Linked DNA regions of Stegostoma tigrinum. The protein of the gene in region 1 binds, or shares a complex with, the protein of each later gene. Links are inferred from orthologs where the notes say so. Each region holds a gene or a part of one and is shown in the gene's direction. Other genes may lie near its edges.

Region 1 (8,086 bases):
TGAGCAGGTTTTTTCAGAAATTCATGCCTAACTTCAGCACTGTAACTATACTTCTAACAGATTTATTGTAAAAACAGGCAAATGTAATATGGTCACAATGGGCACCAAACAGCTTTTGAGAAGCTGAAGACAATTCTAATGAAAGACTTGGTGGTAGTCATCCCTGATCTTACTTTTAAAATGGCAATTGATGCTAATTACTTGTAGGCGAATGTGATCTTGGTACAAGGTGATGAATCAAGAATAGAACATAGAACATTACAGCACAGTACAGGCCCTTCGGCCCTCGATGTTGTGTCGACCTATCATACCGATCCCAAGCCCATCTAACCTACACTTATTCCATGTACGTCCATATGCTTATCCAATGACGACTTAAATGTACCTAAAGTTGGCGAATAGTGAGGCCAATGATGTATTTTTCTAATAAACTGAACCAGAAGAACGGGATTCAAATAGTTAGATAGTTGTTTTTGACTGGCATAGACACAGTGGGCCAAAGGGCCTTTTTCTGTGCTGTAGATCTATGGCTACAACTCCACTGTGAAGTACTCCACTGTGGAAAAGAAGACAACATCCATCATAACCATAAGGAAATACGAATATGCACAGACCACAACTCTTTGTAGAGTGATTTAAAAACTGAAATGCAAAATGATTTTGATGAAGCTTTTTGATTCAAGGGCTGCTCCTAACTATTGGAAAAAATAAAGTAATTACAGAACTAGTAGTGAGAACGTAATTATGTTGGAACGTTCCTTCATAAAAATGTGTCCAGACGAATGGATATAATGTGTTTTAATGTATAAATGTCACGTTTACTTTGTATTGAAACACATTTAGAAACGGTGTTCCATCTCTTCAAGGGTGGAGGCAAGAAATGTCAAGAATTTTTTTTGGAATATAAACTGGGAAAAATGAAAGTTTGAATGCTACTGTGTTACAGAGAATGTGTCTGGTGCTTCTTATTAGCAACTCAAAGGTCAAATGTGAAACTGTATGATGTTCACTTGTAGGACACACAATGTTTGGAGAAAGTGGAGTTTTTGAGAGACAAACTAGCACCAGATGCCTTTGGATTGATAAGCTGCTTAGCAAGAGTCGTTGGATTTTTAAGTTGCAGTCTGTCACAGACCTGAGAAGCGACAGATGAACATAGATTTCCAGCAAGCAAATATGTAAAACTTTCTTCTTCATCCTTTGTACATGAAAAAAAACAAACTCAAATACATTGAAAAGAATAACTTTTTACTCAACAAAGACCTAGATCCAACTGATTAGCTCCCTGAGTGCATTCTATTGCTTCACAACTTTTCATCACCAGGCTTTGCGGGACATTGGTCGGCCACATTTGGAATATCGCGTTCAATTCCATGCTCCTTGCTATACAAAAGATGTTATTAAACTTGAAAGGGTTTAAAGGCTTGAGAAAATATTTACAAAGATGTTGCTAGGATTGGAGCATTCAAGTTACCGGGAGAGGGTGAATAAACAGAGGCTATTTTCCCTGGAGCATCAGAGGTTGAGGAGTGACCTTATTGAGGTTTATAAGATCATGAAGGTCGTGGATAGAGTGAATAGTCCAGGTCTTTTCCCCAAGGTACGAAAGTCCAAAACTGGAGGCCACAGGTTTAAGATGAGAGGGAAAAGATTTAAATGGGACCCAAGGGGCAACCTTTCACACAGAGGGTGGTGCATTTTTGGAATGAGCTGCCAGAGGAGGTAGTGGAGCTTTATAAAATTACAACATTTAAAAGACATCTGGATGGTTATATGAATAGAAAGGGTTTAGAGAGATATGGGCCGACTGCCGGCAAATGGGACTAGATCAATTTAGGATATCTGGTCAGCATGGACAAGTTGGATTGAAGGGTCTGATTCCATACTGTACATCTCTGTGACTCTGTAAAAGCCTAAAGAAATGCAAGGAGGTCACCTCATTTTCTACCGATGCAGTTTGGACTGTTGATCCATAGAATATATTGCTTGTTGCCTGGGTCTTCTACTAATTTTGCAATATTGCATGCAATTTCGGTTTCCCTCCTATAGGAAGGATGTTGCGAAACTATAAAGGGTTCAGAAAAGATTTACGGGGATATTGCCAGGGTTTTGAGGGTTTGAGGATGAATAGACTGTGACTGTTTTCCCTGGAGTATTGGAGGCTCAGGGTTACCTTTTAGAGGGTTATAAAATCATGAGGGGCATGGATAGGATAAATATACAAGGTCTTTTTCCCAGCATGGGGGATTCCAAAACTAGAAGGCATTGGTTTAAGGTGAGAGGGAAAAGATATAAAAGGGACCTAAGGAACAACCTTTGCAGGCAGAGGGTGGTGCGTATATGGAATGAGCTCCCAGAGGAAGTTGTGGTGGCTGGGTATGATTACAATATTTAAAAGGAATCTGGATCAGTATATGAATAGGAAGGATTGAGAGTCTTATGGGCCAAATGCTGGCAAATGGGACTAGATTTATATAGGAAAACTGGTCAGCATGGACAAGTAAAACTGAAGGGCCTGTTTCCATGCTGTTATATCTCTGAGCATATATTTCTGCGGAGCTGTCTATCTAGTCTGACCTATTTGTGATTTATTGTGCACATATTTGGGTTTAAAGGGAATATGATTTAAGTTTGCGATGTTACAGTTCATAATCTGTTTTGCCATTTATTAAATGATGTTTGTCAATAAACAAAAATGTAATTATTTATCAAAAACAACAAGTTGTGTTACTTTCATTTGTTTTAGATAGTAGTCATATTAACCATCTTGGTCATTCAAACATTTGTGATGGCTAATGAACAAGTGGGGTTTGATTACCAGTGTAATCCTCTCCTCTGGGCCATGGAACATTGTGCACAAATAAGGACAAAGGCCTGAGTCAGGGACAGCACCATGGTGTGTGATTTCTGTCCCTGTCTGTAACGGCTGTGATATCATACTGCCGTGATGTTATCTGTGTCCTCATCTCATCTGCTTTGTTTTCTATACTGCTTGCATCAATGAAGATACCCTTAAGCGTTGACAACCTTTTCAAAGAATTCCTAATCTGTTTCCTCTGCTCTTCAGATCATTCACTAATTTTACTAGCAAACCTCTGCAAGGATTTTCATCCTGGACCTGTTGAAGTGCAGACTGCATGGTTTATTAAGTTCCCAGAATTGGTCCCAATGCCCCAGGAATCCAAAGCTCTCTCAACTTGCACCATCTCTCCAGTCATGTACTCATCTGCTCTAATCTCCTACTATTATGCTTGATAGGCTGTGATATTGTGCATAATCAAGAGATTAATACCTTTAAGATCTGTTTTTTAATCTCTTGCTTCCTGAAACTCAACTTTTTTTCCCAAACAGTGTCACTGGAACTCATCTAGATCATGAGCTCGGGCTATTCGCCATGCCTCCTCCAGAATGTTCTGCAGCCACTCAGTGGCATCCAGGAGCCTGGCACCAGGAAGGCAAAAACCAGCAGGGTCCAGGCCCGGAGCGTCAGCCTTCCTGCTCCTCTTATGCGGCTTGACCTGCTGTGTTCATCCAGCTCTACATGTCGTTATCCCAGATTCTCCAGCATCTGCAGTTCCTACTATCTCTGAGGCAAGAACCTGCGTTTGTGTACGTGGCTAAAAAAAAATTGCCTGCTGTCTGCAATAAATACAGAACTGCCTAGATCTACTGGTTTAGCAGATTTCCTCGCAATCCACGCGTAGCTCAGCCACCCATGATACCACGGGCAATCCTCTGGCTGCATGTCCCCTGGACGAACCACCAACCTCAACAGTATTCACAACTGAATACTTAGTTGGAGAGTGGGACACACTCAAGGCAATGTGCGTTATCTGCCTGTTTACTCTTCAATGTCCGGTGAGCACCTTCGTCTTCTTGTCTGTGGATGTTAACTGGATGGTTGTGTGTGTGGGTGTGTGTGTGTGTGTGTGTGTGTGGGTGGGGGTGTGTGTGTGTGTGGGTGGGGGTGTGTGGGTGGGGGTGTGTGTGTGTGGGTGGGTGGGTGTGGGTGTGGGTGGCTGGGGGTGTGTGTGTGTGTGTGGGTGGCTGGGGGTGTGTGTGTGTGTGTGTGTGTGTGTGTGTGTGTTTGTCTGTGGGGGGGGGGGAATGCAATGCAATGCAGTAGTGACGGTTGTTGCTTAAATCCTGAAACACAAGGTCCGAGCTCCTGCTGATGCTTCCTGTGCAGACGGTTAGCCAGGGCGCGGGAAGGATCCTGGAGTTCCCACACCCTCAAGGTTGAGCCTCCGTTACCCCGTCATTGCTTATCAATTCCAGGCCCTGCTATCGCTCATCATTCCACTGGTTCACCGATCTCCCCGTTGCCGATGGAGCCTTGGCCTTGGTTCTGAACCGTGCGCCCACGCGGTCTCTGGGCCTTCTCGGCTTGTCTCCGGGTCTTCACAGGCCGGCGTAAGTGCAACCCTTCGGCCATAATGACGGGACATCGGGAAGGCGTGCGTTCCGCAAGCCGAGGAACAGCGTTCGCCTGCGGTACCGGCAAACAGCAAGACCACCGCACCCTCACCACGCACAGGCCGCTCGGTGTGCGTCATGACGCCACACGCCACGTCCAAGCCCGCCGGGCAGGCAGAGCCGCAACGGCGCACGGCGTGATGGTGTCATTGGAAGCGGTGCGCCCGGACGGGGGTACGCAGGAAGCGGTGAGGTCAGAGCGCTGGGTGAGGGCGAGGCACGGGGGGGGGATGAAGCGGAGCGCATTCTTTCGGCGGGGATAGCGGCAGAGTGGTATCGTTTGACAAGATGGCGAGTGGGGAGCTTGGGGCCTGAAGGGGAGTCCGTGGCGGGTCCCCTTTCCCCGGGGGGCTTGGCGATCGGCGTAAGCTGGTGGTGCAGCCTGGGCCTACCTTCCCCGAGAAGGGCTGGCGGCCTAGCGCGGGGTCGGTGTGAGGAGGAGAGGAGGGAGAGCCGGGTGGTGGTGGGGGTGTCGAGGGGAGGCAGGCCTTGGGCCCGCCATGAAGAGACAGAACGAGCGCGACTCGAGCCCCAGCTCGGCTCCAGGCAGCGGGAGAGCGGCCAAGAGGCCCCGGGAACGGGAGAGAGAGCGGGAGGGCCGGTCCGCCAGGGAGGAAGGTGACACGGGCCGAGGAGGAGGCGGCGGCGGCAACTATCACAAGGCCGGCCTGAGCGCCAAACACCCGGGGGGTCGGAGCAGGAGCCGGAGCCGGGACAGAGCCGCGGGAGGAGGGGACAAATCCAATAGCAACAGCCGCAGGGAGGAGAGGGGGGACCACCATCACCACCACCACCACCATGAGACTGTTAGCTCTGCCAGGTTGCCCACTGCCAGGTCCAGCTCTGCCCAGAAAAACAAAGGTGACAGTAGCAGGCCTGCTGGCCTCGAGTACAAGACCCTGGTGATCAGCAACCTGGGCTCGCAGTTGACGGACGAGGCGGTGGAGGATGGTCTCTTCCATGAGTTCAAGAAATTTGGGGAGGTGAGCGTTAATGCAGCACACACCCCTGAAGGGGGCCGGCTGGCATATGTCCATTTCCGGCACCACGAGGACGCTAAGGAAGCAAGGCATGCCAAGGGCCGGCTGGTGCTCTACGATCGACCCCTCAAAATTGAGCCGGTGTACCCCAAGAGGAGGAGTTGTACTCCACCCGAGGTTAACTTTGGATCTATCCACACTGGGTATCAGTATCGGCAACGTTCTTTGTCACCGGGGGCCTGCACCCTCCGAGACCAGCGGACGAGACATACTAATTATCCCATTGAGGCAGTACCACTGGCAAGGGAGAGGGAACGGTCGTTAGACTATTACGGATTATATGACGAGCGTGGGCGAGCTTACAGCTACCCTGTGCAGGAGGATGATTTGATGCCCGAGGATGACAAGCGAGCCACAAGGAACTTGTTCATTGGCAACTTGGATCACAATGTTTCAGAGACTGATCTGAGACGTGCTTTTGAGAAGTACGGCATCATTGAGGAAGTGGTCATCAAGCGCCCGCCCAGGGGGCAAGGGGGTGCCTATGGGTTCTTAAAATTTCAGAATTTGGACATGGCACATCGAGCCAAGGTAGCCATGTCAGGCCGGGTGATTGGCAGGAACCATGTTAAAATTGGATATGGCAAAGCCAACCCAACGACTCGATTGTGGGTGGGTGGGCTGGGACCCCTGACCTCACTGGCTGCACTTGCCCGGGAGTTTGACCGGTTTGGCAGCATTCGCACCATTGACTATGTGAAAGGCGACAGCTTTGCTTACATACAGTACGAGAGTTTGGATGCTGCGCAGGCTGCCTGTGCTCAGATGCGTGGCTTTCCACTTGGTGGGCCTGACCGGCGGCTGAGAGTGGACTTTGCTAAGGTGGAAGACACACGTTACCAGCAGCCGTACCCACAGGCACCGCTTCCAGTCCCCTTCGAGCTGTTGGCAGATGGTTTTGGTCGGCACCGGAGCCTGGAGCGGGAGGCCAGGACACGTGACCGGACCCCACCACTGCCCCTATATCACGAACGGGAGAGGACCTATTTGGACGGTGACTGGAGCAGCCCGGCCAAGAACCTGGAGCGCCGCAACAACACTGACGCTGTTTCCATCCGTAACCGGGACCGCTGGCTGAATGAACGGGAGAATGACCGCAGTACTGTTGCAGCCAAGCCCTGGGAAGAAAGGCGGAAGCGCCGGAGCCTTTCCAATGAGCGTGTCCGACCTGTACTCTCGCCTTTTGAGGACCGGGTGAGGGCTAAGCCTCGAGGCTCGTTGGAGCTGAGCCCAGATAAAAGGAACCGTGATGCTCGTGGGGCTGATGGCACCACTGAAAAGGAGCAGGTCATCTCTGGCCCTTTGGAGGATCGGCGTCTGCTTGTTGAGGATAAGGTGTCTTCAGATGCCCAGGACTCTGTGCAGCTTAAAAAGAAAGACAGTGAGCGCAATCACAGAACTAGTGAGATCGAGCCTGAGCATAAAGCGAGTATTGATGCTCCAAAAACAGAGACCAAGAAGCCAGCCAATTTGCTGGAGTTTGCACAGGCACTCACACTTGCCTGGAATGGTGTCCTTGTGCTCAAGAACAGCTGCTTTCCCACAAAAATGTTCACACTTGAGGGTGACGCTGCCATTACCCATTCCCTCCTCAAGGATTCTGTAACGGGTGCACGGGTGTCACAGCTGAAGATTGCTCAGCGCCTACGTCTTGACCAGCCCAAGCTGGACGAGGTGACCCGTCGCATCAAGCAGGGCAGCCCTAATGGCTATGCTGTGTTGCTCGCTGTGCAGGCTCCCCAGGGTGCTGAGGGAGGTGATGGCGCTGTGGCTGTGGAGCCTGGTCTCCAGCAGCGGCTGTTACGGAATTTGGTGTCGTACCTGAAGCAAAAGCAGGCAGCAGGAGTGATTGGCTTACCTGTTGGTGGGGTGAAGGACAAGGACAATACGGGCATGCTATACGCTTTCCCACCCTGTGTCTTCTCTCAGCAATTCCTGCAGACAGCCATGAGGACATTGGGGAAAGTGGATGAAGAGCATTTAATTGTGGTAATAGTAAGGGACTCTGTCTGAGAGAGATTACTTCATCAGGAATAAAGAGTAACTCTCTTTGGGACTGCCATTTCAGTTCTAGTGTCTTTGGGACATTGATTGCTAAACCAAACAGATGTGTGTCTGCACCAGACCTTTGGTTGTCTAAGTCTTTACTCTGTTTTTACCATTTACTGTAATAGCCCTTTTATTCCTTTTCATTGGAATTTTAGGCCAGTGCTGAACGTTGACCTTTTATTTGTTTGGTTTTTTTTAAAAAAAATTGATTGTATGAAGAAAAGTTCTGAATTGTCAGTAAAGCTACGTCTAATGTTGTATTTTTAATTCTGTTCTGTCTTTGGCTTTTCTTTTTCATTTCTAGTGTTTAGAAGTGTATAGTGAGAATGATCGATATAGTCCGATGTTCTGAAGTCCATTGTATCTTAATAACAGACACTAATGGACACCACACACTACAAAAATATGCATTTCTTTCAATAATGAGCCTCTAGTAAATTGCAGCGTGCTAACAGTGCCCAAAGTAAATAATTCTGTAAGCAAGTTAATTTAGAAAGGAGTTCAGGATCTTGCTTTTTGTT
Region 2 (7,868 bases), on another chromosome or scaffold:
ATGCACAATGGTCCTTTTCTTTCTACCAAGGAGGGTCATCACACACACCTGCCCACCTCCAAAATCACCACAACTTTTTAAATTTTATTTTTAAACTAATAGACGTCACTGGTAAAACACCTATTTTAGCCAACTTGAAGGCAATCAAAGTCCATAATGGGTGATGCAAACCATCGAAAGTGGGGGTTGTGGGTAGGAGAGCTCGATGGGTCCACTGTGGTCCTTAATGGGCCATACTCGTTCCCTTGTTATCCTTTTTGCCTTAATGTAACTGGAAAACAATTTAGGATTTTCATACGTGCCCGTGTCTTCTCATATATCTTTTTAGCTCTCCTAATAAGACATTGGACTGGAAGTAAGGCCATTCCGCCGTTTAATCATGGCCGATGGGCATTTCAGCTCCACTTCCCTGCACTCTCCCTGTACAATCTCTTGTAGGTTCTATAGCTGAAGGTTTTGCTGTTTTGAACCCTCAGTTACTGCCATAGCCCCCTTTTTTTCTCTCATAATCTAATGCAGTATATCCCTTAATATCCAGAGTTGACAGGATTTAATGTTCTCACCCTTTATTGAAACACATTGGTTCTGTATCTCCATATTTCCTTATTGAACGCATCCTACTGTCCTTGGCCGGATTTGCAAGTATCTACTTACAGTACACTCTGCCCAAAGCATATCTGACCTCATTGAAATAATCCACCCCTCAGCCGAGACCTTTGATTTCAGGCCCAACCTTGTTCTTTTCCATAACAATCATGACTTGAATGGACTTACAATTGCTGCTTGCTAAATGTGTTCCAGTAATACCTCAACCACTTGCCCAGCATCCTTCCCTACAATTAAGTACAGAACTGCCTCCTCTCTCGTAAAGAGCTCTCTGTACTTGTTTAAAAAGTTGTTCAGGATGCATTTTAAGAATTTCTGCTCCAGACCTTTCACACAATGACTACTCTAGTTAATTTTGGGCAAGTTGAAATCCCCTATCACAACCCTACTACTTATACACTTTTGAAATGTGCCTACATATCTGCTCCTTTATTTCTCTCAGGCTGTTAGGAGCCTACAGTACACTCCAGCAATGTGATTGGTCTTGTGTGTTTTTTTTAAACACCACCAACATGGCTTCATTTGAGGAGCCTTCGAAGATGTCATTCTTCCTGAAATAGTTCTATCGAGAAATAACATCTTCCTCTTTTACCTCCTTCCCTGTCCCACCTATAGACCCTGTAACCTGGAACATTGTTAACAGACGATCAAGACTGGCAGCTGTCTTACAAACAGCAGTGACATCATACCCTCATGTTGTGCCCTCAGCTCAACTGCCTTGTTCATCAGACACCAAGCATTAAAATAAATACCTTTCAACCTTGCCAAACTCCCTGCACCTTAACAATCTATAATATGACTCGCTTGCTGTCACTTCTAATTTTGGACATTCATCTTCATCTGAACATTCTGTCTGGATCTGTCAAGTCAGCCCTGCTACCTAATGGGTCTTCAATCTACTTCCTATCTCCCCAGATTCTGCTTTCAGGACATCGTCCCCTTTCCAACCCATGTTTTTGGTACCGCTACGTACAACGATCCCTGGCTGTTTGTCCTCCCATTTCAGCAGTAGGGTATTCTGGGTCAGTGGCATCCCTGACCTTGGCACCAGCAAGGTGACATACCATTCTGGAGATAATGGGAACTGCAGATGCTGGAGAATCAGAGATAACAAAGTGTGAAGCTGGATGAATACAGCAGGCCAAGCAGCATCTCAGGAGCACAAAAGTTGACGTTTCGGGTCTAGACCCTTCATCAGAGAGGGGGTTGGGGAGAGGGTTCTGAAATAAATGGGGTCGGGGGGGGGGGGGGGAGGCCTCCCCCTCTCTCCCTATTTATTTCAGAACCCTCTCCCCAACCCCCTCTCTGATGAAGGGTCTAGACCCGAAACATCAACTTTTGTGCTCCTGAGATGCTGCTTGGCCTGCTGTATTCATCCAGCTTCACACTTTGTTATACTATTCTGGAGTCTCTTTTGTGGTGACAGAAATGTCCCCCTTACAATCGAATTGAATCCCCTGCCATCCTTTTACATCCTCACGTGCAGTGTGCCCACCCACAGTGCCACGAATTTGATTACCATTGCTTTCCCCTGCACAATCATTTCCCCCAGCAGTATCCAAAACAGTATGTCTGTTAGAAAGTGAGATGGGCACAGGGGACTCCTACCTTCCTGTGCTCTGTCTAATGGTCATCCATGCTCACTGAATGTGTTTTCCACAACCTGCTCAGAATTACAGATTCTCCAAAATGCAGATCACCAATAGCTGTGGCTGGACACACTTCTGTACACATTTTCACCAGGGCAACTGAAGCTTCCATGATTGCCACATAGTTACAGCAGGAGTATATCACAGGTGCAAGCTTTGCTGCCGTGACTTTTTTTAAAGTACATTTGTAACTCTTTTTTTCTAATAAAAAAGATTGTGATAATTTAGAATACTGCTAACTTACTTTCCCATGCTATGTACTTTCCTTACCCTACTTTACTTATTTATATTTCTTAATTATACTGGACCTGACTTTCATTTGTTTCTGTTGTTTCTCAGTTAATCTCTTCTTTCAAAAAGTATACACTGCTTAAAAAAAATCACAAACCAATCAATATGCCACCAGTGATGTCACTGTTTTGATTTGTTTTCCCAATCAGCAGATCTCTGAAGCTGCAGCTATTAAACTAGGGCTCCTTTCCCTCAGCTGAAGGAACTTACAAACTATGGACAAATAAAAACAGAAAGCATCAGGGAAGGGAATTACTGCCCTGAGTTTAACAAGATAGGGCGGGAAATCTCACAAAACCCTACAATGAAAAACTCTCCAAAAAACTTGATGCAACCTGGACTTAGCAAAATGATTCAGCCTGTGATCTACCAAGCTAGATTCTACCCTGGAAACTGACTTGACCAATATTAGATGAGAGAAAGCTGAGTTAACTTGGGAGTGGTTCATAATCTGAAGATGTTGAATTCAATATTAATTTCAGAAGGTTGTAAAGTGCTTAGTCTGAAAATGAGATGTTGTTGTTCCAGTTTATGTTATTTGCTGCAGCATTGCAGCACACTGACAACTTTAAAAGAAACACAAATTCCTCATTGAGGTAACAAGGTGTAGAGCTGGATGAACACAGCATCAGAGGAGGAGGAAGGCTGACGTTTCGGGCCGAGGCCCTTCTTCAGGCCCTGGACCATTTTCTGAAGAAGGGTTTCGGCCCAAAACGTCAGCCTGCCTGCTTCTAAGATGCTGCTTGGCCTGCTGTGTTCATCCAGCTCCACACTTTGTTATCTCGGATTCTCCAGCATTTGCAGTTCCCATTATCTCTTTGCTCAAAGCTAAACGTGGAACAGTTTAATACCATTATTTACTTGGAGGAACAAAAACAAACTTGTGATGTCCTGGAAAAATGAGACATGCTGCTGAATTGTTTTATCACATACGGAACTGAGTACAATCACTAGAATACCATATGTCAAAGGAAACAAATTATACTGTGTGAAGAAAGGATACTGAATGGTTGGCAAATAGATTCCGAATGGTAATGCACCAAGCAACATCTCCCCAAAGAAAATGTTAATTGTAGTTCTTTTTAAATGTAAACTTGGCAAGTCTCACCCAATCATGACCGTTTGCCAACCAATTAGCATTCTATTCTCATGCAGTATAAATTGTAGCGGCCTTTGAAGTTTGATATTCTCATGATTCTGTCCTGTCGACTGCAAGATAAAATAAAAAGCTAGTTTAAAAAAAGCACACTTTTTTTGGAGATAGTAAGAGCTGCCAATGCTGGAGTCAGAGATAACACAGTGTGGAGCTGGAGGAGCACAGCAAGCCAGGCAGCATGAGAGGAGCAGGAAAGTTGACATTTTGGGTCAGGACCCTTCTTTAGAAATGGGGCAGAACTGCCTGGCCTGCTGTGCTCCCCAGCTCCACATTATGTTATATAGCACATTTTTTTCTTAGTAGTAATAGTATTCGAAGTCCATTATTTCACTCCCGAAAGCATTCTGATTTTTGAAAGAATTATCACTTATTCCTCCCTGGTCAGCTAATTTATACGTTGAATCACAGATCTCATGTACCCTTAAAAAAAAGAAAAAAGCAGATGCTAGACTTCAGGACCAAAAACAGGAATTGCTGGCAGAACTGACTAAGTCTGGCAGAATCTGTGGAGAGAAATCAGTTAACGTTTTGGGTCCAGAAACCCAGAACAGACCTATTCAGTTTCTCCAGCAATTTCTGTTTTTGTTGTGTACACTTACCCTTGGCCAAAGCCTCAGCATATTTCTCTTCTGTGATATTCAAGTTGTTTACATAGGTAGCATGATGCTTGCTATGGTGCAGCTGCATTATTTCTGCACTGATATGTGGCTCCAATGCACCATAGTCAAAAGGAAGATCAGGCAGTGTGTGTTTTTGTTTGGAGGCTAAACAATGAAAATCTGGAGAAATGCTGGAGTAACATCTGCATGAAAAATGGAAGTTATAATCAGTCAAATTAAAAACATATTCACTTTCAAATGCTTGTTCACTTTTGAAACATTAACTACTTTAAATGCTTTCAAGCTTCTGATATTTATCAAGGAAAAAAGTTGAACGGGGTGGACGAAAATGAGTGAAGTGGGACAATGAACAGGAGGGGAGAGGGACAGAGGAAGCAAGTGGGGGAAGGGCGAAACGGAGTAAAGGGGTGGACGGGGGTGGAGATGGGGAGGGAAAGGGATTTGGGGCAGCGAGAAAAGTCGTTGAGACGGTACTCAATCAGCCTTCCGGGAGGATTTTTGCAGAAGCGATGTCAACGTCGAAAGCTTTACTCCAACGACATGAGCGTGATTTTGCCGGTGACTGCCCTACGCGTGCTTTATTTTTAAACTAACAAATATCACACTCACCTTTGAAGATAATTGAGTTTGTTTAACATATTCAGATTTTAGTGTGCGCTGGACAACGTCGAAAGGCACAAACACAAAACCTGTGCTTGCAATCGTACAACACAACGCCCTTGACCTTTGAACTCAGACCCAACCATTTCATTATTTTTTAATTGAATTTTTTTTTTAAAAATCACCTAAATTCAGGAATAATAGCAAAACTAAAACAAGTATTTTGTCGGAAGTATTTATTCTTAAAAAATCGCAAGCATGAATCTTGGTAACTCATCCCTACTACAATCCCTCCAAATTTTTTTGGCACAGCAAAAGCGCTCTTCCGACAACCCAAAGCAGAGGTTTATTTCTGTTGTGCGGTTCTGCGTGTTACTCCGCTACTGAATTTTGAAGTGCGTGTTTCCTTCCCGTGACGCGTCTTAGACGTGAATGGCGGTCGTGGTGACAGCTTGTGCTAGGTTGGCTTGAACTCTGCCCAGCATTAATAGGCATTCAATAGGTTGAATGTGGTACTGTTCGATTTTTCAAGGAAGTCGGGTGAGTGAGTGAACCGGCTGGCTTGCGGGCGCGGCAGTGCGTCAGTTGGATTCGGCGGCTGCTAGGCCGGAGACTCGCGGCGCCATTTTATCTAGGGTTTTTTATTCTACCAAACGACGATTAAGTCAGAAAACGCATACATCTCTGAAGAGCTGGTGATCTAAGCCCCTCCTTACACCCGGGGCCTTGCAGCCAGGCTCACGGTTAGTGTTTTTGGACATAGTGTTTTAGTTTGTGTCTGGAGTTTCTAAAAGTGAGGGTAGCAAGTGTCTTTCCTTGTTATAAGCGTGCACTTGTTTTAAATGACACTAAGCGTGTTTCTTGCTCGTACCACCTCGAAAAATAGCCCTCGAACTAGGTAATGCATGCCGACCATTAGGGCATCGGATAGGATGAGCTTGTTTGTTACAGGGTAAGTTGTTATTGGGCCTAGTAGATTCTACATTCACGGAAATGGGGTATAATAGCGATCCTTTGCAAAAATGAAAGGATTGAGCTTGTGTCATGATCGATAGGAAACCGTTTCTATGCTGCAGAGCGGAAGCCGCCATTAATTTCCGAAATGAGTTATAGATTTTTTTCTCCCAAACGGGCATTTGCCGAATGCCACGGTGGTTATTAAGTAGACATGCTTTTTCTTTCTCGTTGAGATTTGAAACTATTGAGAGTTTCTTAGAGTAACCGATTCTACGTTTGAACTATTGAGTTATCTTTAATAGGTTTTCCTTTGCGTGGATAACAGAAAAGGCTTGCTTACTTGGCTGTATGTGTGTCACCTTTTATGCTACTCAAATTGGGCTGTTATAATTAAAAGGGGAATTTTTTCTGAAAAGTTGAAATAAAGTAGAAAGAAAAGCTTTGACCGCTGCAGTATCTATTGCCGCAGTGTGCCTTTTGTTTCAGTTGCCTTTTGCATGCACTTTGTATTGAGAACACTACTGAGAAGTGAAAAGGCACAAAATGAAGTTGTCGCAAGATGGTTGTCAAATGAGAAGGTTTGAGAAAATCAAGAGATTCCGGAGTACAAAGGATGTTGTAATCTCCAATTTCACTCTAATCTGAAATCAGTGTTTGGTCAAATAATGCAAAAAAAACTAAACATTTTTAGTCATCGAGATAGTCACCTGAAATTATTTTATCACAAACTGTTGGATGAGTTGTATCCTTTCTTTATAAAACTAAACCAGGCGTCTCTGTCAATCTCCTCAGGAATATTTTATAAATCTGTTCCTAATAGATGATGTTACAAGGACACGGACCTAAGGTTTTGGGCATGGGAGAAAGAATTGCTTTGCAGGATAAAGCTGGCTACTTCTGTATAGTCTGAAATTAAATACAGTAAATGTCTAAAGAGACTTGGTGGGTCAGGTGAATGGAGCACAAAAATGCCACGAACTGGTGCACAAAATAATACAAAGTACTGAGTCTCCAAATCTAGGAACTACTTTAGGAGGATTTTATTCGCATTGGGGCGAGTACACTGTCAGTCGGCAAGAACAGTGCATGGACTTCATTGAGCAGAGAGGGGGATGGGGGGAGGGAACTGGAATAAATAGGGAGAGAGGGGGAGGCGGACCGAAGATGGAGAGTAAAGAAGATAGGTGGAGAGGGTGTAGGTGGGGAGGTAGGGAGGGGATAGGTCAGTCCAGGGAAGACGGACAGGTCAAGGAGGTGGGATGAGGTTAGTAGGTAGCTGGGGGTGCGGCTTGGGGTGGGAGGAAGGGATGGGTGAGAGGAAGAACCGGTTAGGGAGGCAGAGACAGGTTGGACTGGTTTTGGGATGCAGTGGGTAGAGGGGAAGAGCTGGGCTGGTTGTGTGGTGCAGTGGGGGGAGGGGATGAACTGGGCTGGTTGAGGGATGCAGTGGGGGAAGGGGAGATTTTGAAACTGGTGAAGTCCACATTGATACCATATGGCTGCAGGGTTCCCAGGCGGAATATGAGTTGCTGTTCCTGCAACCTTCGGGTGGCATCATTGTGGCATCCTGGACACCACCCCCAGGCCTCCTACCCTCCCTCGACCTCTTCATCTCCAACTGCCGTCGAACCTGGACACCACCCCCAGGCCTCCTACCCTCCCTCGACCTCTTCATCTCCAACTGCCGTCGAACAACCAGCCCAGCTCTTCCCCTCTACCCACTGCATCCCAAAACCAGTCCAACCTGTCTCTGCCTCCCTAACCGGTTCTTCCTCTCACCCATCCCTTCCTCCCACCCCAAGCCGCACCCCCAGCTACCTACTAACCTCATCCCACCTCCTTGACCTGTCCGTCTTCCCTGGACTGACCTATCCCCTCCCTACCTCCCCACCTACACCCTCTCCACCTATCTTCTTTACTCTCCATCTTCGGTCCGCCTCCCCCTCTCTCCCTATTTATTCCAGTTCCCTCCCCCCATCCCCCTCTCTG

The links. Proteins that work in one complex are often made in the same cells at the same time.
Region 2: rbm15b (region 1) and wtap share a complex: the UniProt entries of both Homo sapiens proteins name them as parts of the WMM complex. The link is inferred for Stegostoma tigrinum from reciprocal best matches to the Homo sapiens genes RBM15B and WTAP.

Annotation. Positions count from the first base shown.
Region 1 is NC_081364.1:63,276,398-63,284,483, reverse strand, and holds rbm15b (putative RNA-binding protein 15B), read left to right. Parts: upstream 1-4,682; 5' UTR 4,683-4,976; coding exon 4,977-7,529; 3' UTR 7,530-7,832; downstream 7,833-8,086. UniProt on the Homo sapiens protein: RNA-binding protein that acts as a key regulator of N6-methyladenosine (m6A) methylation of RNAs, thereby regulating different processes, such as alternative splicing of mRNAs and X chromosome inactivation mediated by Xist RNA.
Region 2 is NC_081362.1:33,421,724-33,429,591, reverse strand, and holds the start of wtap (pre-mRNA-splicing regulator WTAP), read left to right. Parts: upstream 1-4,795; 5' UTR 4,796-4,831; coding exon 4,832-4,880; intron 4,881-4,931; coding exon of another isoform or gene 4,932-4,960; exon of another isoform or gene 4,961-5,067; intron 5,068-5,253; exon of another isoform or gene 5,254-5,462; intron 5,463-5,475; exon of another isoform or gene 5,476-5,665; intron 5,666-5,684; exon of another isoform or gene 5,685-5,874; intron 5,875-7,868. Other genes in the region: sod2 (superoxide dismutase [Mn], mitochondrial), read right to left, coding at 4,302-4,504, 4,932-4,960. UniProt on the Homo sapiens protein: Associated component of the WMM complex, a complex that mediates N6-methyladenosine (m6A) methylation of RNAs, a modification that plays a role in the efficiency of mRNA splicing and RNA processing.